Linked DNA regions of Astyanax mexicanus. The protein of the gene in region 1 binds, or shares a complex with, the protein of each later gene. Links are inferred from orthologs where the notes say so. Each region holds a gene or a part of one and is shown in the gene's direction. Other genes may lie near its edges.

Region 1 (10,520 bases):
TTATTCTCGTAATATTATGACGTTAATCTTGTAATAGTACGGCTTTAAACTCGTAATATTACGACTTTATTTCGCATAATATTACGACTTTAATTTCGTAATGTTACAACTTTATTCGCGTAATATTACAACTTTATTCTCAAAATTTACATGCAGCTTTTATATTAAAGATGGTACAAACATAACCTAATTGTTATATGCATCTTGAAAACAGACAGAATAATCACTAAAATTGAAAATGTTAATAAAATTACTATTACAAATGACAACACGTATTGTTCAAAATGATAAACTTGTCATTTTATATTTCAATCTATGTGCTAAGCAGAACTAATTATCCTATCGCTATGCTTTTATTAAAAATATAAACAACAGGCTAATGGATGTTTTGAAGCAAGCTATCCTAGACTAACACAAATTAATATTAGTTGCTTGTAATGTTTTTTAGGTTACGGATATAGTCACATCCTGTGTAGATTACATTGATGTCTAATTCAAAACATCTGAATATTTTAATACATTAAATTTAAGCTATAACTTGATTCACATTCCGACTGTAATCCACTGTGTCCACGACCACTTTTTATAGATGGCAGTGTCACAAAAACATAGGGTCCTGGAACTGCAGTCCTGAAACTGTGGTCTTAAAACTGCAGTCTCTGGGGTTGCAGCTTTACCCTTCTCGGTTGTGCTGTTGTGAGTGAGTGGAATGACCTTAATGGGCAGGGTTTATTCCCAGCAGCCAATGACAGGGTCACAACCGGATTTCTTATGAAACAGATTTCTTACGAACTTTGTAAAAAAAAAAAAAAAAAAAAGCTGCACAAGAATGACCAGTACATGTTTTGAATATATATGTGTTATTAGATTTAGAGATTTAAAAAAGATAAAAAAAAAAACAAGCAAATGGCACCCAATCAGTGGAATGGACCATATGGTGTTTTAGGGCCATACCAAAAAAACAAACAGTTCACTTCGAGAGTAAAGACAAAATAATTACAAGAACAAATTTGTTATATTATAAGAATAAAGATGTAATTTTACGAGAATAAAGACGTTACATTACGAAAATAATGTTATATTATGAGAATTTCTTACGTCTATTCCCATAATATTAAGTCTTTATTCTCGTGATATAACGTCTTTATTCTTGTAATATTATGTCTTTATTCTCATAATATTAGGACTTTATTTTCTTGTTATATTACGTCTCAAAATATAACAACTTTTTTCTCGTAATATTACGTCTTTATTCTCGTTACGTCTTTATTTTCGTAATAACTACGTGCTATAGTGTGAAGGTGTAAAATGACGCAACCACTAAAGCATACCTTCATTGGCACTATAGCAAAGCCGTTTAAGTTTTGACTCCTGAACCATAGGTTCTATTGACAAAATTCTTTTTTTAGGCTTATTAGGCTATGAGGTTCCGCCCAATTAATAATTTGCATAATATGCAAAACCTACTTTGGCAAACTAGTCCCAAATCCTGACATGTTTAATGTCAAACAACTCGGCAGAGTACAAACCTTAATAATTATCAAAAAAGTTAAAATTTGCAAACAATATGTTCGTCATATGCAAATTAGTATTACCATGGCACAGCCAAACTAACTCTTACAGTTACATTGAATGCTTAACCTGACAGTAAACCCACTTCAGACCTACTAGCATGATTTTGAGGTACCTGGTCAAATCATGTAGACATAGGGGAGACTGTCATTCCGATAGTCCAAGGAAATGTTCAAGCCACCGACATCATTTATCTTCAAACTACAAGGAAAAGTTAAATTCTGAGATAAAGTATTTTTATTTTTTATTTTTTGTCTTTTGCAATTGCTGTTAATGTTGTAAGTGTTATATCAGGTGAAAGTACAGTTTATGGAGTAATGAATGGTGTAACTGTCTCTTGCTAATGTTAAAGCACCATGCTTATTTAGCTAGCTAAACAAAGAATGACAGGGGTGGGGTAGGTTGTAACAAGACTTTTTGGAAATGTTACAACCATCCCCGGGCATTAACATTATAGTTTTTTTTGTGATTTTAATTCTCCAGAATGCCTAGAATGGGTGAGGAAAACAGAAAGAGGAGTGGATGCCAAAATTCTAGAAAGAGCAGCAGAGGAGGTTAAGAACGGACAATCAGTCACTTTGTACAGATACTACAGAAAAATTCAAGGTTTTAAAAGACCAGGGCTCAAAGGACCTTCCACGTGTTGGATATGTCAGTCCTTTTTTGAGCAAATTCAATTGAATTTTTGGTTAGCACTAAATAAATAAATGAGTAAATAAATAAAATAAATAAATAAGTAAACAAATTGGCAAATGAAATGAAGTTCCATTGTTTTCTTTGTATTTTTGTTTATCTGTTACAACTGACCCCGGCAGGTGTTACAACCTACCCCGGTAGTGGGATGATTGTAACAAAAGAACACTCTGTATTTGACATGATCTGACAAGTTATGGGATATAATGGAGGACATTTAAATGGTTATAATTTGTAGTAGACAAATGTGGGTGCTTTGTCAAAAAGTTTCATATCTGTACCTTTTTAAAAATAGGTAGTTTGGGGTGTTTTCCAAAAAGTGTTACTTTCATACCCGGTCTCCCCTATGCCCCCAAGGGGCGGAGCCAATGATGGAAAACCATACAAGAACCATACAAGCTACCAAGCTCATAGTTGGCAAATACCAGTGAGGGCTTATCTACTAATGGTACTCTCAGAGAGAATTTGATATTAAAATTTTTGTGATCGCTATTAGATTCCATCAAGCTTTTGACAGGCTAAACATTGACCAATGACGACGAAACTTATTGTCTTTATGTAAATAAGGGCCTCCTATCATCCATTAAAGTATTGAATTGATTGGCCTCTCGGGGGCGCTATAGCAGAAAATCAGTTAAATCAGAATATACTTGTAGCATAAGCATATTATTCTTTTTGATTTTTATGCATTGCTGAAGCCTTTGTAATTACATATTTCTACCAAAAATGCATTGTTTTTCATCTGTGGCCATTAGTGTAAAAATTACACTTTTCGAAACTTTGAATATTCAACCAAGTAAATCAGCATTGGCCTTGCTGCAATCTTGAGAGGTAAATAATTATCAAAAAAAATCTTGAGATTTTAACTTTTTGTGGCACCAACACCTTGATCAAACAGGTACGTGAAACTCTGTCAAAGTTTATGTCATGTCAAAAGTATTGAAGACTCCAATAAACAATGACATTTCAATCCCATGTGCCAAGTATGAGCTAAGTGAGTCTTCAGGAGGCTCTACATTGACAAATTAACTATTGTACATTTTTACCATTTATCGCTATTTTTTAACCTAAATGGACAGGAGACAGGAACCTTTGGGCCTATTAACATACAAATTTACATACATATATATACACTGATATTATGATCTTGATTCCCAATTTTAAGTCATATTGGATTTTTTTCCCTATAAAAGGCCACAAAATCTACTGTGATTGTGAAGGTTTGAGGCCTAATGTATTGCTATTTTCAAAACTAAAAGACCTCAGCTTTGACCCTATCAACACAAAAGCTTAAACATATATATACAGACTACCTGATCATGATTAATAATGTTGAGCCAAATCGGACTTTTCTCTACAATCATTAAAAATCTAATGATAAGCATATTTCTCTCTCACAGATGGATAGATTCTCAGCAGGTTTTATATGGTGTCTTGCTGCACTCTGGTGGTCATTTGGTGAAACAACTGCAATTTATTAATTTTAAATTAAAGCTCTGCTGAACTCTCTAGCTCATTTGAACTTGCTGGTCTTGCTGGTTGAACATCTTTATCCTTCTTGGTCATGCTGGTCAGCCACATTGGTCATTCTTGTTGTGCTCCACCCACTTAGGTTTTTTGCAAATTTGCATAGTATGCAAAACATACTTTTGAGAACTTCTCATTGGCTCATTGACCAATCATGACATGTTTGGTGTCAAACAGCTCAGCAAAGCAAAAGCCTTAATAATTATTTTAAAAATATTGAACTTTATAAACAATATGTCCGCCATATGCAAATTAGTCCTTCCATGGTGCAGCAAAATGTCTTCTAACACTTACAACTTTATTAACATTAATACCACTTCAGTCCTTTGATCATAACATGATTCTCAGATACCCTGTCAGTTTATCCAGACATACACCACAGGAGTGTTACTCTTTCTCTAGAACCATACAAGCTATCAAGTTCAGCCTTGGCAATTATCATCTATTGTCTATGTACTAATGGGACGACAAAGGAAAAATTGATGTCATTTTTTGTGGTCACTATTAGCCACATTCACATTCCAGCAAGCTTTTGACAGGCTGAATGTTAACCAATCAGGTCAAAACTTATACACTATATGTAGGCTATTTCCAATTTAAGAACTGGAGTTGTTTCTTCAAATGACCACTAGAGTGCAACAAGACACCACATAAAGCTGCTGAACAATATACCTCAATTGATCAGTGTTTTTCAACTAGTTTAAAAAATAAATGAGTGTGGAAAAATCCACAGCAATATTTGTCCTTCTTTAGGATTTTGACAGTCTTAGTGTGTATTAGGTATGATAGTTTTCTAGACGACTTAAGACTGACGAGATAATGGCCTGGGAATTAGGCCAAAAGTGAAAGCTATAACGTTTTAATTAATATCATCTAATTTTATTCATATTTTATTCCACTTCGCAATGTGTTCTGCCCTTTATTCAGAGCGTTTGCACAGCGCTTTGCTTGCATGCTGTTTTTTACTGTTAAAATGCGCCATCTACAGGCGGCCGCATGTATGTTCAGCCAGCATGAACGGAAATCTGAATAAGACACTGGCGAATAAGAAGCTAACTTCAGCCTCGTGCGTCCAGAAACCCCAAAAGTGTCTCCTTTTTCCTACCGGTCCTCCTCCTCTCCTCCGTGACCCGGAAACTGATTTCGTAACGCCATCTTGCCGCCTGTCCGAATACCGTAGGAGACGAAAGAAGCCGCTTAAAATCTGCCTCGAATAGGCTTCCAACAGAGGTTACATCAGTGCATCCTACTCCGGAAGACTTTTAGTGATTTTCCAATGACATCACTGCATCCACGCCCACAGAGCACGCGGGAATGGAGAAGACAACGCACAAATGTACTTCATAAGCATATTAATTAACTAGGTTCCTTGTCTAATTAAACAGCCAGTAAAGCAGTAATAAAATGTTTAGTTTAGGTAAGCTGTGTGTTCAGTAAAACTATATTAATGACCCTATATGTAACATATTGTTGTAAATATACACATCATTTCCACATGTATGAAAAATATATTTATTATTATATTTATTATTTATTAATTAGTTTTTTTGTTTTATTACATTCAATGTAATCACATTTTACTATTAAAATAATTTAATATTTACATATGCAACCTTCATCAGGCTGTACTTTTAAAGCTTAATATGCTTGTCAAAGTTATGATCTCTAGAATTTGGAATTGTGTTTATTGATTTCTCGTTTTTATTTTTGTATGCGGAAGCTGTGATTGGCTGGGCAGTATCCGGCATGTGCTGAAAGTGAGCGTTGTGATTGGCTCAGTTCAAAGGTGGTCAACATCCTATCTAAAAGGGATCAGCTGTCCCATTTCCCCAATTACAGCTCCTTCCCTCCATTCCTCCACCTTCTTCTGGGTAGGAGAGGAGTAGCAAAAGTTGCTGGACGCAGCCAGTGTGTGAAGTGAACTGTTTTTTTTTTGGTATGGCATTAAAACGACGTACGTAACGTAACTGTTCTAATTTTGGAGTTTCCATTAGCTGTAAGCTAATCAACATTAAAAGTTGAATAAATAAGCGCAATGAAAAGATAACTAAAATACGGAAATAATAAACAATTTAATTATATTCTATTTTTTAATGCACTTGTATGTAATATTGAACAATTTCCCTGAATAAAATAGATTTCTCATTTGTTTGATTTGCTTCATAGGATATGTGTGCACAATGTATGAAAGGGGTTTACAAACTTCCAAACGTCCACTGCAGCTCGGTTAGCTAACCGAGGTCATCTGCAGAACATGAGTGCTTTATTTCCCGAGGTCTAGCCTTGTGTTGTACTTGTTAGCCTCCTAGCCCGGCCATCCGCTGCGCTGCAGCTCACAGAACAAGCTAGTCGGTACTGAGCGCTTCGCAGAAGAATTTAAACTAATAGAAGTATAAACAGTGGTGGCTAGCTAACGCTACTTGTTTTAGGAATAATTAAATAATCTGGTTCGTTAACTGTAGATCAGCTTCAGGCTTCGCTAACGTGCATGAGCTAAGTGAACGGTTCGGATCTCGTTGAATGGCTTTCACTGCTAGCCAGCTTGTTAGCCGAGTGTGTCGGCTTGAGGTGCCACGGCATTGTCTGCCCGGGCCTCGCTAAAGTCTCTCAGATTTTTACAAGCTGCTGTAAAGTTCCAGGTAAGAAGTTCTCAGTTACATAAACAATATTCTAGTGAAGCGTGGCACACAGCTGCCTGGTAGCTAAAAACTGGTGTAGTTAACCACTATCGTTTGTGTTGGACTGAGCTAGCTAACTAGCCAGCCAACGCTATGCTTACTAGCTAGCTAGCTATCTTCACTTCAGACTTCAGCGAGGTTAAGAATAACGTTTGCGCATTTAAGCAAATGGTTTTAGTTCATTTTAGTTGCACAACCACGAGTACTTACTAAACATGACGCACTTAGTTAGGTAACTAGCAAAATTACTGCTCTCTATATTTACTATTGTTAGCTAGCAAGCTAGCCACTTAACCTAGCTCGGTTATGTAGCGTTAGCTTTGACTGATTCCTTTTTTGGTGGACTACTTTAGGCTGCAGGGTTTATTACATTAAGTCAACTTTCACATGTGGAACATAGGCTGGTTGGGTAGGTTTCAGGTGGGCATGGGCTCTGAGTGGGTTTGTGCTGGTTTTTATTGTTTACAGGCACCAGTGCAGTGTACAACAACGATGGGGCCCATGTTTAATCCCTCCTGGTTGTATCACTTCAACGATTTTCTTCTGGTTTTCAACTGGGCTGCCCAAGCCACATGGACACGTTATCTGTAGGCTTAAAATAGTTATAAAAACTCGCTGCATTGAATAACTATGCAAAATACCTAAACGTGTGAATGCAGCTAAAAATTTGCCAAATTAACTGGATATGTCTAATCTCTAGTGTTGGTGATGATCATGTAACTTCCCTGTGAACTTGTGTTTCCTTTTGCAGAGCAGAATGACAGAAACTTCAGGGCTTCAGTTTGTGAGCCCATATGCCTTTGAGGCCATGCAGAAGGTGGACGTGATGCGCCTTGCAGCTTTGAGTGATCCTGAGCTGAGGCTTCTGTTGCCATGCCTGGTGAGGATGGCACTGTGTGCCCCTGCTGACCAGAGCAATGCCTGGGCACAGGATAAGAAGCTCATCCTGCGCCTGCTGTCCGGTGTAGAGGCAGTGAACTCCATAGTGGCACTGCTTTCTGTGGACTTTCATGCCCTGGAGCAGGATGCCAGGAAAGAACAGCAACTCAGGTGAATCCCCAAGGACCCATCAACATTTTAATACGCTAGGGTATTTCTGGGGCTATATAGTTTCCTGTGTACATGAATGATGAATGATGAAAAAACATGCATTCCTGTTTAGATGAATAAAATTGTGCTTTAGGAATTGTAAAAGGCCTTTCTAAAATAGTTTTGCATTTAAACACTTTCTCCACTGTCCATGTTGGTTTGCAGTATTCCTATGAGGTTTGTTTATGGAAAATTGATTGGAAAACCTGAATGTGGTACGTTAGGACACAGTTGGAGACCTTGTGTTTTAATAGTATATATTTATAATAGTATCGATTGTCCAAAAAATAGAACTTCACATTTCCCTGGTTGTTCTATTGTTCTCATTGGAAGTGTTACCTAATTAGATGTTTTTGTTTGTTAACAAAAAAAACACACCAACCATTTAAATAAGTGTTGTCTTCTCATTACAGGCATAAGGCTGGAGGGTCAAATGGCGAGAGTATCCTTGTTTCCCAGCTGCAGCATGGGCTTACACTGGAGTTTGAACACAGTGACCCACTAAGGAGACTCAGACTGTCTCTAAGTGAGCTGCTGGCCATCATGAACAAGGTTCTTATGTCAATGTTTTGTGTGGACATGAACAACCCACTTGTGCATTTTTATTTCAAGCGTAGAGAGGCTCATTACATCTGAGTTCAAGTATACAGTGGAGTAAAATTCTGTTTCTCTAGAGCTATGGGGAAACATGGATCAAACAGCATAATATTAATAATTGAATACAACAGCTTTAACTGATTATATCATCCAAGATATCTAATCAAATCAGTTTTATTTGTTATACAGGTAGCTGACTCCAATGGGGAGTTTTTTCTAAAGACCTCTGAGCTATTTGAGAGTCCTGTGTACCTGGAAGAGGTAGCCGATGTCCTCTGCATCCTTCAAGCAGGTAGATATTGTAGCTGCAGTTTACTTTCTGAGTACTTTCTGGAATTTCCAAGTAAAATATGCTTACTTGTAAATCTGCTTTTACTGTAGCTGCTAATGCTTTTTAAAATTAATGGATACAAGATCTCATCCTCTCACAGCTGATCACTGAGTCAACCCAGCCAAACCTAAAAAAAACCTCCAAATCTACCCTGATTGATTTAATCTTTTCTAACAAAACAGATAAAATCACTGCCGCTGGAGTTTTTGAACTTGGCTTTAGTGATCATTGTTCGATCTGGTGCATTAGAACCAGTTCAAAGATACAAACGGGCTCTCGGATGGTGGTTAGAAGAAATAAAAAATAATAATAATGAACAAGCTTTACTTTCTGACTTAGCAGTGAGCAAAATTCACTTAACTTTTGAAAGTACAGATGTGGATGTTGCATTAAAACATTTCAGGAAATCATTCCTTTCAGTGGCGAATAAACATGCTCCATACAAAAAACTGCAAGAAGCATGTTTATTCGCCACTGCAAAAAAACTGCAAATAAGAGACAGATCTAGCCCCTGGTTTTCAGGAGAAATTTCCTCACTGCTACAGTCAAAAAATAAAGCCTGGTCAATAGCCAGATGCACAGGGGAAGGTGAAAAATGGCTCACATTTAGACAATTGAGAAACAGATGCACCTCTCCAATTAGAAAAGCCAAATCAGATTATTTCCTCAACCAAATTACCAGCTCCTCTAATCCACAAGATTTCTGGAAAGCAGTAAACTTCCTCAAAAACAACTCCCAACAAATCCCAACTAAAATTCTAGTCAATAGTATTTTGATCTCCAGCAAGAACTGTGCCAAGCTTTTAATGTACACTTTGCTGCAGCTGGTCAGATATTTAATAACACTGACTCAAACCTACCTGTAAATCTGCGTGTCATTACTACTACTGCTTCCCAGAAAATCAATATCTTCCCCTCCAGACCAGCTCTCCATACATAGTGGCTAACGCCCTTTCTTCTATTAATCCTCGGAAAACAATAGGTGAGGACGGTCTGGACCCCTACCTTCTTCGTCTCACAACCCCAGTTATTTTAGAACATATTCCATAATTTTTTAATCTTTCTATTTTATCTTGTAGAATTCCCAGTATCTGGAAATCAGCTCATGTTATTCCTCTGCATAAAGGGGGAGATGCGGCAGATCTAAATAATTACAGACCAATCTCAAAACTGTCTTGTTTATCTAAAATTTTAGAATCCCTAGTGAATAACCAGCTCATGTCTTTTCTCTATGAAAACTTTATCCTGTATAACTATCAATCTGGATTTAGAGAAAGACATAGTACCATCTCTGCAACTCTGGTTTTAAATGATCTATACATGGCCCTAGACAAGAAGTACTGTGCTGCCATTTTTATTCATCTCACAAAAGCTTTTGATACTGTTGATCATGATCTACTATTATGTTCTTTACATAAGATCGGTTTTAGCAATAATGCAACCCTGTGGGCACAGGATTACATTTCTGGCAGGAAGCAATGTGTGTCTATTGGTTACCATAAATCAGAGCTACAGCCCATAACAAATGCAGTGCCCCAGGGCTCAATCCTGGGTCCAGTTTTATTTAATATTTTTATCAATGATCTTGCCACCTCTACCTTAGACTGCAAATTACATCTTTATGCAGATGATTCAATCTTATACTGCTCAGCAGACTCTGCACATGCTGCAATAGTAAAACTTCAACATTCTTTTAACACTACAGACTGCTCTATTTGAACTCAAGTTGGTTTTGAATTAAATAAAACCAAATTCATGCTGTTTTCCAGATTTCCAAATATTATTTTAAATTCTGGAAATATTACTATTCTGACAGGATCCACCATTGAACAAGTTAGCGAATATTAATATCTTGGCATCTGGCTCGATAAAAAACTCTTTTAAATCCCACATTAACAAACTCGCCATTAAGTGCAGACAAAAGCTTGGATTCCTTTATCAGAATAAATCCTGTTTACCCGTGCACGCCAGAAAAAGAATAGTGGAGGCAACCATACTAGCAAAAGCGTCTGCCAGTGCTCTCAAACCATCTA
Region 2 (10,032 bases), on another chromosome or scaffold:
ATTTTTCTGTCAAGCATTATGCACATTGTGAAAGTATGCAACATTAAGAAAGCTGAGTGAAGCTGCCAGTGTAGAGGATTCCGCACTTACCACAGAAGGAGCCATTCCTCTGCATGAAGAACGTTTCTTCTTGTTCTGGGGTGTGTTTCCTGCTGTCTTCATGTGAGCTCCACTGATCTGCTTCACCTGCCTGTAGAAACCATCTGTACACACCAAAATATAATAAAAGACAATTTAGATCTACTCTTTGTGCAGGGTAAGGACTTTCAGGAATCATCTATAAAGGTTATTTTCCTTAGAACTTACATTTACCTACACTAGGTGGACAAAAAAAAACATTTGGGTACATTTTTTTAATTGTAGCCCTGAGCCCACTCTTACCTTTTTTACTACACCTTGTATCCCACACCATGATGTTACCGTCCCTGCCTCCTGTGCAGAATACAGCTGTGGAAAATGACAACATTTCAGTCAGCTCCAAAAAGAAAGACCTTCATGTGGTATTTCTACCTTTTCTACTTAATGTAAGTGACAGTCTTAATGTAGTGATAAACCAAAGTGGGGTGTCTAAAATTAAACTCAGAACCTAGATAATGAAAATCTGTCTACTTATTTTATGCAATTAAAACTGTGTGGTAAACTAGGTTTAGAAAGATAACCTGATTTAATCAAGTTTACAATTTCAAAACATTCTCAGTGTTTAAACATTCCTTTCGAGGTTACCTTTCTCTTGTTTCGGGAAAGACACAGACTTCAGGCTGCACTGGTGACCCTTAAAGCTGCCTAGAAGCTCCTCTGCAAGCACGTCCCACAAACGTGCTGTCTGATCCCCGGATGCAGTCACCTTAAAATATTAATAATAATAAATAATAAAAAAAAAAAAAAAAAAAAAAAAACAGTATCAACTCATGTTTACAATGTTAAGTGAATAGTTAAGAAACTGAAATTATCCAAGAAGCCACTACAGTTTTAAATCTGCTGTGTTATTAAATGTTCATTAATAAAAGAGGCAATACATGCATAATAAAGTCTATTAAACAATCCCACACATTTGAGTACAGTGTGTGATGATTAAGACAAGCAGTTAAAACCACACTAATTGGAGGACTACAAGTTTATTACCTACTAGTTATATTACAGTGGCATAAATTAACCAATTTCTTATTTTTTACTTGAAGATCAAATGCAAATTTCAAACTCACCAAGCTGTTCGCTCCAGGGACCCAGGCAATATCAAACACAGCATTATCATGTGCAGGCCATTCTGTAACAGAAATGTAATCATGTTGGACTTTTTGAATGCTTAGACACATGAAACACACACAACTGTAATATGTAAAAAAATATATGTTTCTTAGCAGGTTTTTAAGACCATAAACAAGGGAACATACAAAATATAGAAACCCATTTTATTTTATAGTATATTGAAATTTAACACATATTTGGAAAATATTTATTTGCAAACATTTAAAGCTTACCCTTTAGGACTGAGCTTTGTTTCTCAGCAGTTTTATAGATGGCCACAACACCCTCCTCATTCGCAACTGCCAGAGTGTTGTGCTGTCCAGGAGCTACAGTACGCAAACAGACAGAGTCACAGAGAGTACTAAGATTTCAGTTTCATATAAATTTATTTTAAAAAGTATATCAATGGCTGGAGGTTCTGAGGAGAAACATTTGAGAAAGTAAATACAAATGGTTTTAGATTTCTTTAAAAGCCAAACCTGTGGAAAATGAACATCCAAATGGAGGAACAGCAACTGCAGTGTTTCCGTATGAGATGTGTTCATCATGACGAGTGCACTGATAACACTCCAGCAGAGACGATACTGGATATTCTTGTCTGTTAACTGTTTTAAAAAAGGAAAAAATAAAGAATTATTCAGAGAGATGCATAGAGCTATGCATTTCAGGGTCAGGTTATATGGTAAACATAACCATCACAATAACTAAAGACATTTTCATTATAAACTATATTAATAGCAATATACTGGCAGACAAAATAGCATCAGAATATTATATAAGATGAATCGGTACTTTTGGCAGTGTGTGCAGTTCCAGTCTGCTAGAAAATGAAATCTGCACCTCCATAAAATCTGTCAGCATTTGTGCAAAAATTAGTATTTTTGCTTATTTCATCTCATGATGCTCCGCGACCACCTGTGGTAAATCACGACCCCCTTAGCTGATCATATCATTTGATTTTTCCCATTTAGGATAATGGTCTATATCAAGAGTCAATTTGGTAATTTATTTTATTGTCGTAAAATGTGACCGAGGCATTTTTAATAGCGTTCCAAGATGGAGCTTTACTAAACTAATTTTCACCATTCAGATCTTTGCGTAGTTTGTTAAAATGTAAAAAATGTTAACTCTCCTGTTTTTATCAACATATCTTACTGTTTAATTCACAACTGTCATATGTTTATGTTTCCTGAAAACTGAAAGATTAACAGGAAGTTATAAGATTATTTTAGGAAGGCGTGAATATAGATGCCATATAATCACTGGGCATCCCACCACAGCAGTAAAGAAGTCCTGAATGAAAGTGGGGGCTAATAAACAAACAAAAAAAAAGTACATGATGACTTAGTAGCAGTACTGTGAGCTATGCTGCCTCCTTCTGAGAGTGAATGGGGAAACCACAGTTTCAGTCCCACCTTTCTCAACCCAGACCAAAAAATATATCACCCAACATGTTTCACAAAGAGTAAAAATCTTCAGTTTAAGTCACTTCCGCCTAATAATGACGCGACCTTGAAGTGGGAGGAACTATAGCCTGGGAGGAAATCTCGCGCTCTGGAAACAGAGCTGCAGAAAGGCTGCATACAAGGGTTAACATGCGTTTCTTTGCAAGCATATACTGAAAAAGTTTAGACTGAAAAACAACCACAGTTCACAAGCTGTTGTTGGACACAGCTGAATAAATGGATATAGGTGTTTACAGTACGGCATCACTACAAAATAAACACACACTAGTTCCAGTATTATTAATAGGGTACAAATACTGCATTTCGCTTTTCTTCAATATATATTATGATATAAAAAAAATACCAATAACTTGTTTCAATAGTCAATGATCCAGAATGTATTAATAATCTCCAAAACTGTACAGGAGAGATAAAACCTTAAATAGAAAACCTTGTAATGGAAGTCAATGTAAATAGAGATATTGGTCATCATGAAATTTAGACATAAGTGTCAGTTTCTGTGTTCAAATTGAGATTTTTAAGACAGATATAGGTAATATAATTAGCTGATGGTCTTTTACAACAATCTATATAACCAATTACTCTGTCACATCAGTTTAACTAAGTAGATACAGCTAGTAGTAGGTAAGTTAGTTATTGGAGTTGATTAAGAATTTTTAACGCTAGGTTAACTTACTAGTTACTAGCTACTGTGTTTTATCCTTAAAGAGATGTTCCACTAAAACAGCAATATTAGGGCTACAAAAATACCCTGAATGATCTAAAATCTGAGGGATCGGAGTAGTTAGTTAGTTATACCTGTAGATAGCTGGGTAGATGTTTAATTATGTGTATAAAACTAGCTAAGCTAGCGTTAGCTACAGGAGGGGCTAATCCAATTTACAACATCTCTAAAATGGACTGAAAAACATCACAATCTGTGCAGATCCTCACAATCCCACTCACCTTTTCTCCTCCTGGTCACTCCCCGGTCAACCACGCACTGAAACAGCATAGTGATATAAAGATCTTCACACTTTAAAGCTTATTTTTCCAATCTTAACCTAAAAACTACTGAGATCCCGCTGCCCACCGCTTCCCGCGAACTGAAGCACAAAGCCAGAGAAACACGAAAGTACCCGCCGAACTGACGTCGCGACTTCTCATTGGTCAGCGGAGACCATGGTCCACGCCCACTTCAGAAACGCTGCGAGATGGCGGGCAGCAGAAAGAGGTTGTATCTCAAATGGCCTCCTGATGCCTACGTAGTGCACTATGTAGGGCTTGAAATAAACATAATTTACTCAAAGATCGTGAAATATGTATTAATAGAAGTAAATATGAATGTATCTACAGTCTCTACGGTACGTTGTACAGCATTTGCTCAAATAAGTGGGTCTAGTTTCCACAGTTCATGACTTAGGGCACTTTATAGGGAGTACAGCGTCATTTGGTATGTTTCCATATGTATATACGCCAAAAAAACTATAGTGTAAAATGCGTGGACAGCGATCATGCGCGGTAAATAATAAAAGCTATCTAAGTGCCTGATAATGACATGGACGGCTTTTCAGTAAATATAAAAAAACACAGTCTATGATAACTTCATGTTTTAAAGATACATGTTTAAAGTAGTAGAGACCCAGAATTGATTAAACGTACAAGTGCAATATATAAAAAGTGACTTGAGTGCAAGTTGAAGTATTCTTTACTAATGGTGTTGTCACTGAGTGGAATCAAATCCTCACAGCAATGTTCCAGACGTATTCTTAGGAATTGATGTTTTAGTCTGAATTTAAACTCCAGACTTAAGTGGAAGTACTAAAGTATTTAACTTTTTTTTTTTTTTTTTTACTTTTAACTTGATTAGTCAAAAACTGAATATAAACGTACAGTATTGTGTTATGCAGTTACTTTAGAAAGCAATGGAAAGTTTAAATATTGTATTGCAGGCAGGCAGCAGTGTGGTATTTTTATAAAACTGCTTGATTGATGGATTCACTCAGTGATAAGGAGCTTCTTAAAGCTACCACTCCGGCATTGGTAATGAGTAACAATGCAGCATATACAAATAAATTATCAGATGAAATATATAAAATATGTGGTAAATTAAAAATAAAACTCTGGAAGAGCACAGATACAGCAATTTATCAATAATATTGCAAATAAACGTTTTTATCAAGAGAACAATAAATGGATATCTGCTTGCTTTTCTACAGGCGTCTGGACAACTGGACACTGATATATGGGGTTGCATTTACATTTATAATACACTTGTTGGGTCAGTTTTAGTATATTCAGATGTTTATTTTTTTGTGTAAGTTACCTGAATCTCCGGCCTGCAGGAGGCAGCAGTGAGTCATAACACTTAAGATAACGAGAACAAGGATGGATGTGTAGAGGAGCTTTTATCAGTTTAAAATAAGGGTTTAATTTAAATGAATGTGATTAAAAATGTCTCTTTCTACAGCGCGGTCTTTCTTATCGGAGGCTGGATATGGAGAGCAGGAGCTGGATGCTAATTCAGCCCTAATGGAGCTGGACAAAGGTCTGTAGGCTAATGCTAACAGCGGCTAGCGTTAGCTTAGCTTTAGCAACGGTGTCTGATTAGCAACCGAGCGATTAGCCTCTCCCCCATTCTGTTCAGTGTAGCCTAGCCTAGCCTAGCATAGCTGTTTTATTTCACATAAATAAAAATAGTGCACAACTGTTAAATATAGGGCAGTATAGGCAGAATATCAGTCACACCCTGGCTGGAGAAGTACTTTATTTATGAAGAACAGTACACTGCAGGGTCTTGATTTAGTAATAAAGTGTGTTAAAGTTATCCATACAGATCTCTGTTCATAAATATTAAATTAAATTCAAAATAGTAATACATGATTCAGTTCATTAGTTTGCATAGCGATTGTTAAGGGGGTGTTATATCCTTTAGAACTAAACAGACAGGTTTTGATGTTGCACCTTTAATAAGACTTATGTAAATTAGCTCTGTTCTAATTGTTTAACACATATTATGCCTCTTTACTGAAGTAGTCTGAGCTGAAACTCTGGGTGGAACGAAACTACTGTAGGCAAATATGTGTTAATCAGCTGGATTTTACGAACTTATCATGCCCAAAACTAAATGATAAAAAATTATAAACAATTATAAACAATGTTATTAAGCTACACGAATTTGTTTTATTGCAGTATAGATGTGTACATTCATATTATCATGTTCAATGGCTCTATTCATTTTTATGTTGCTAATTTCCTCTTTTTTCTGTACTCATTTATATGGTGACAACCCAAGGACTGAGATCCTGTAAACTGGGGGAACAGTGTGAAGCTGTGGTCCTTTTCCCTAAACTTTTCCAGAAATATCCGTTCCCTATCCTCATCAATTCTGCCTTTCTCAAACTGGCTGACATTTTCAGACTGGGGTATGTACAATGGAAAATATGTGTTAAAACTGAAATCTACATAAGGAAAGATTACCTTACTTTGTTCTTGGCCAAGAGTTACCTTTACATCATTATAATAACACAAGTATGGAAATATGTTGATATTAGGAAGTTACTCAGAGAATTTCCATGTGGATAACACTGCACTTTATGTTAAAAACTTTTTTTCTATTCTTTAGTTGCAGAAGAAGGGAGTCATTTTTACACTCCTTTCTTTTTAAGCTAATGTAATCTGTAATGTAAAAAAAATACTTTTGTCTTTTTGTTTCCTCAGGAATAACTTCTTGCGGCTCTGTGTACTTAAAGTGACCCAGCAAAGTGAAAAGCACTTGGAGAAGATTCTAAATGTGGACGAGTTCGTTAAACGTGTCTTTTCGGTCATCCATAGCAATGACCCTGTGGCCAGAGCTATTACTCTTAGGTAAGGAAATATTATTTTGCAGGCATTTGAGCTGCAACTGGCTAACCAAGCTGCACAGACAATGTATTGTGCTTTTTATCACACACAAATAACAGTCTACTATTCTACTTAAAAACACAAATGTCATGTGGTTTAAAATTGTATCTGCATTTCCACAAATGGCACTTCTTTCTGAGCTATGACTGTAATATTTATCATCTGTGACTAAAGGTTAAATAAAGTTGAGGACCATTGTAGCTTTAAAGTGTTTTTTAATGTTTAATGACAGAATGCTGGGCAGTCTCGCATCCATCATCCCTGAGAGGAAAAATGCCCATCACAGTATCCGCCAGAGTCTGGATTCTCATGATAACGTTGAAGTGGAAGCGGCTATTTTTGCAGCTGCCAGCTTCTCATCCCAGTCAAAGTAAGATCATGCAGACACAGTGTTGTAAAGAAATATTTGACCAATACATGAAAATGACACTATTTCCATTAGTTTAAATTTGACAAGACACTTTGTATAAAATTGATCAATAATACCAACATATTTGGCTGTTAGTATTTTTTTTAGCTAAATCAGTATGTCAAATAGTCCCAAACACAACTCAAACAATCAGTATGAGATTACTTAATAGCCAAAAATGTCTTGGTTGAACAAATGCACTTGGGATAGGGTAAGATTTATAGAGTTGAGTTATATTTTTGACTGAAAGCAGATTTGATTTACCTTTTTTCTTCATTTTCTCACTTTCAGAGACTTTGCAGCAGGTATCTGCAACAAGATCAGTGAGATGATTCAAGGTAATTCCCTTGTTTGATTCTGTGGATGTAGTTGTGCAGTTTTATTTTCTTTTTTTATTTAACACCAGTGTGTTTAACATTTACAAATTGGCACTTTTCTCTCTTAGGTTTGGACACTCCAGTGGATCTGAAGCTAAAGCTGATCCCCATGCTGCAGTACATGCACCATGATGCTGCTCTGGCCTCCAGTAGCCGGGAATTGCTGCAGGAGCTGGTGTCCTCATATCCATCCACCCCCATGGTCATTGTTAGCCTGCACACGTTCACCCAGCTGGCCATTTCCTCACTCATCGAAATCCCCAAACAGGTCTGATTACAAATACTGTACTCAGCATGCACATGATCATTCTGCGGTTAGCCTTATAAAAAGTTATATTGTAACGTTATGATAATTGTATTATTTGATTTAATTTATAAATACCATTACACCATTCTCTTTCATAAGACAATAGAGAATGTTGGAAATGTTTTGTTGATTGAACCATAAAGCCTCTCATCTTGGCTGATGCTGATGTGGAATATCCAGGCTACATTTATTTATTTATTTATCTTTTTGCAGATTCAGTTGCTTCTGCAGTATCTGAAGGATGACCCCAGAAAAGCAGTGAAAAGGCTTGCTCTGCAGGACCTAAAACTGCTGGCCAAGAAAGCTCCTCACACATGGACAAAAAAGAACATACAGGTAAAATCCTGCATACTTCTACTGAAGCAGGGATTACATTTTAATAGAACTGTGTATATGTATGTTAGAACTGCCACAGAAGTACTCTAGTGCTGTTGACCAGTTTTGTTTTATGAGATATGGGAGATATTCTTGCTCAGTTTTGTGCTTTTCTGGTTCAAATCACTGTCTGTATCTGTGTGTCTGTATATTTGTATATGTTGTAGACAATGTGCGAGTGTGCCCTGAGCACCCCCTATGACACTCTAAAGCTGGGCATGGCCTCAGTCCTTTCCACTCTTTCTGGAACCATCGCCATAAAACAGTACTTTAGCTCAGCTACAGGTAAGAAGATGATAACCTTTATTTCTACACTGTATAAACAAATGTGTGCATATATGTGTGTGATATACAAAGATATACTACTGAAAATGGTCCTTAGAATCAACAGTGGAACCCTTTTTGAGGTTGTACCAGTGTCCTGGTTCTGGCACCATCCTGACCTGACCTGAGGGCTGTTTTAAAATAATGGCTCCTTTGTATACAGCCGAGAAATGCAGCCAACATTCGGAGCGATTTCAATGGCCGTTAATGATGTAGCATGATGTATCCTTAATGGTCCTTGGTTACCCACAATTCATTGTGCACATACAATGTGAAAGAAATAGTTCTGCACCACATTATCACCATGTGACTATCATGTGTGACATTACCATGAAACCTTCTTAGACTGTTCCATGTGTGACCAATAGGCTACTTAGAAGGATCTAAGGTCTTCATAGGACCTGGCCTACTTTGACTGCATCCTAGGCTTTGGAACACAACTTATTAAAATGCAACAACTTGTTAATAAGCTGATTAGTTGAATCAGGTGTGTTGGGAGAAGGGAAGGCAGTAATGAATGTTTATGGCATGGTGTGGTCAATAGTATTGCATAGAAGTACTGCTTTTACCAACAGACCTTTTGTAAATTGTTTAATTGCTATGGTAATGTTTTCTTGTGTAGTATTAGGTAATAAACTCTAGTAATGTTCTGATATTGTCTGTAGTATTATGTGCTTCATCACAGCATATTTCTGTTAATGTTTCCATATTCATTCTAATAGAGAACTTAATATTATAAAAGTAAAAATTTAGACGATTTAGTCACTCCAATGGATTTTCTTGCAACATTTAAACATTGACCAAAACCTGACCTGTTTATAACAAAAAACAATATAAAAAAAATTAATAAAGATACAGTAATGTGCAGATGTTCTAGGCACCAAAACACATTATTTATTATGATTTGTCTCTGTAATACAATAAAAAGGAATAGAAATTTCTCATTGTCATTTAGTTAAGATCTTTTGAAGAAGGAAAAAAAAGATTGGTTCCAGATTTCTCCTGGATGCACACAGTCAGCATTTGTTAAACTTTATTACGAGCTCACGTGATTTAGCATTATTAAGCACTAATTTAACAAACCAGCTGTTATGATGATAACTATAAATAATACCCACAAGTAGAGATTTATAGATGGTTTAATAAACACATGAACATAAATTCTTAAAACATTTTTGTTAATGATATTTGTATTTATTTTAATATTAGTGTTTTACTAAAAAAGTATTCCTTACTGCCCAGACAAGGACATTTTCATTTAGACTTCAGGTCTTTGCACATTATTGTATATTTATAGTTTAATAACCACAGCTGACTGACAGTTAGTTCAGCTAGTTCTAGAAAGAAGCTAATGAAAAGCTAACATGCTAAATTTGAGCAATTGAAATAGCTCCAATGTGATTAATGGCCTGGTCAACTGCTGTGTGTATCAAATCGAGACTTTTTAATAAAAGAAGAGAAGAGTCTAGAGTACACAGTATGCTGTGTTCTATTGTATACCGGTACACTTCATGTGATCAGTGTTAAAATAGAGCTTATGACCTGCCAGTAGAAGATGTGTGATTTCAGCAGAAACACGTTTCAGACTAAACAATTGAAACAAGCGTTGCCCAACTGTGTCTAATTAAATGTACTAGGTCAGTTACA

Evidence for each region.
Region 2: the proteins of ints2 (region 1) and ints7 are in contact, whole or in part, in a cryo-EM structure (PDB 8RC4), measured with the Homo sapiens proteins. The link is inferred for Astyanax mexicanus from reciprocal best matches to the Homo sapiens genes INTS2 and INTS7. Residues at the interface, in NP_065799.2 of Homo sapiens: Gln27, Lys28, Val29, Cys48, Arg51, Met52, Cys55, Ala56, Ala58, Asp59, Gln60, Ser61, Trp64, Phe92, His93, Ala186, Glu187, Pro189, Ile194, Val218, Asp220, Ser221, Asn223, Glu224, Ser259, Leu262, Lys263, Arg265, His285, Gly294; in NP_056249.1 of Homo sapiens: Leu38, Gly39, Glu40, Cys42, Glu43, Val46, Arg47, Asn77, Phe78, Leu81, Cys82, Leu84, Lys85, Gln88, Gln89, Asn114, Asp115, Pro116, Val117, Ala120, Ile121, Arg124, Val153, Glu156, Val159, Phe160, Ala163, Leu195, Lys196, Pro199.

What each region holds. Positions count from the first base shown.
Region 1 is NC_064427.1:13,881,882-13,892,401, reverse strand, and holds the start of ints2 (integrator complex subunit 2), read left to right. Parts: upstream 1-5,653; 5' UTR 5,654-5,746; intron 5,747-6,024; exon of another isoform or gene 6,025-6,431; intron 6,432-7,221; exon of another isoform or gene 7,222-7,226; 5' UTR 7,227-7,227; coding exon 7,228-7,520; intron 7,521-7,972; coding exon 7,973-8,111; intron 8,112-8,345; coding exon 8,346-8,448; intron 8,449-10,520. UniProt on the Homo sapiens protein: Component of the integrator complex, a multiprotein complex that terminates RNA polymerase II (Pol II) transcription in the promoter-proximal region of genes.
Region 2 is NC_064408.1:86,006,448-86,016,479, forward strand, and holds the start of ints7 (integrator complex subunit 7), read left to right. Parts: upstream 1-5,033; 5' UTR 5,034-5,144; coding exon 5,145-5,238; intron 5,239-5,985; coding exon 5,986-6,115; intron 6,116-6,410; coding exon 6,411-6,557; intron 6,558-6,825; coding exon 6,826-6,963; intron 6,964-7,293; coding exon 7,294-7,340; intron 7,341-7,447; coding exon 7,448-7,647; intron 7,648-7,899; coding exon 7,900-8,022; intron 8,023-8,228; coding exon 8,229-8,346; intron 8,347-10,032. Other genes in the region: dtl (denticleless protein homolog), read right to left, coding at 91-203, 382-447, 724-844, 1,203-1,264, 1,479-1,571, 1,725-1,850, 3,657-3,705. UniProt on the Homo sapiens protein: Component of the integrator complex, a multiprotein complex that terminates RNA polymerase II (Pol II) transcription in the promoter-proximal region of genes.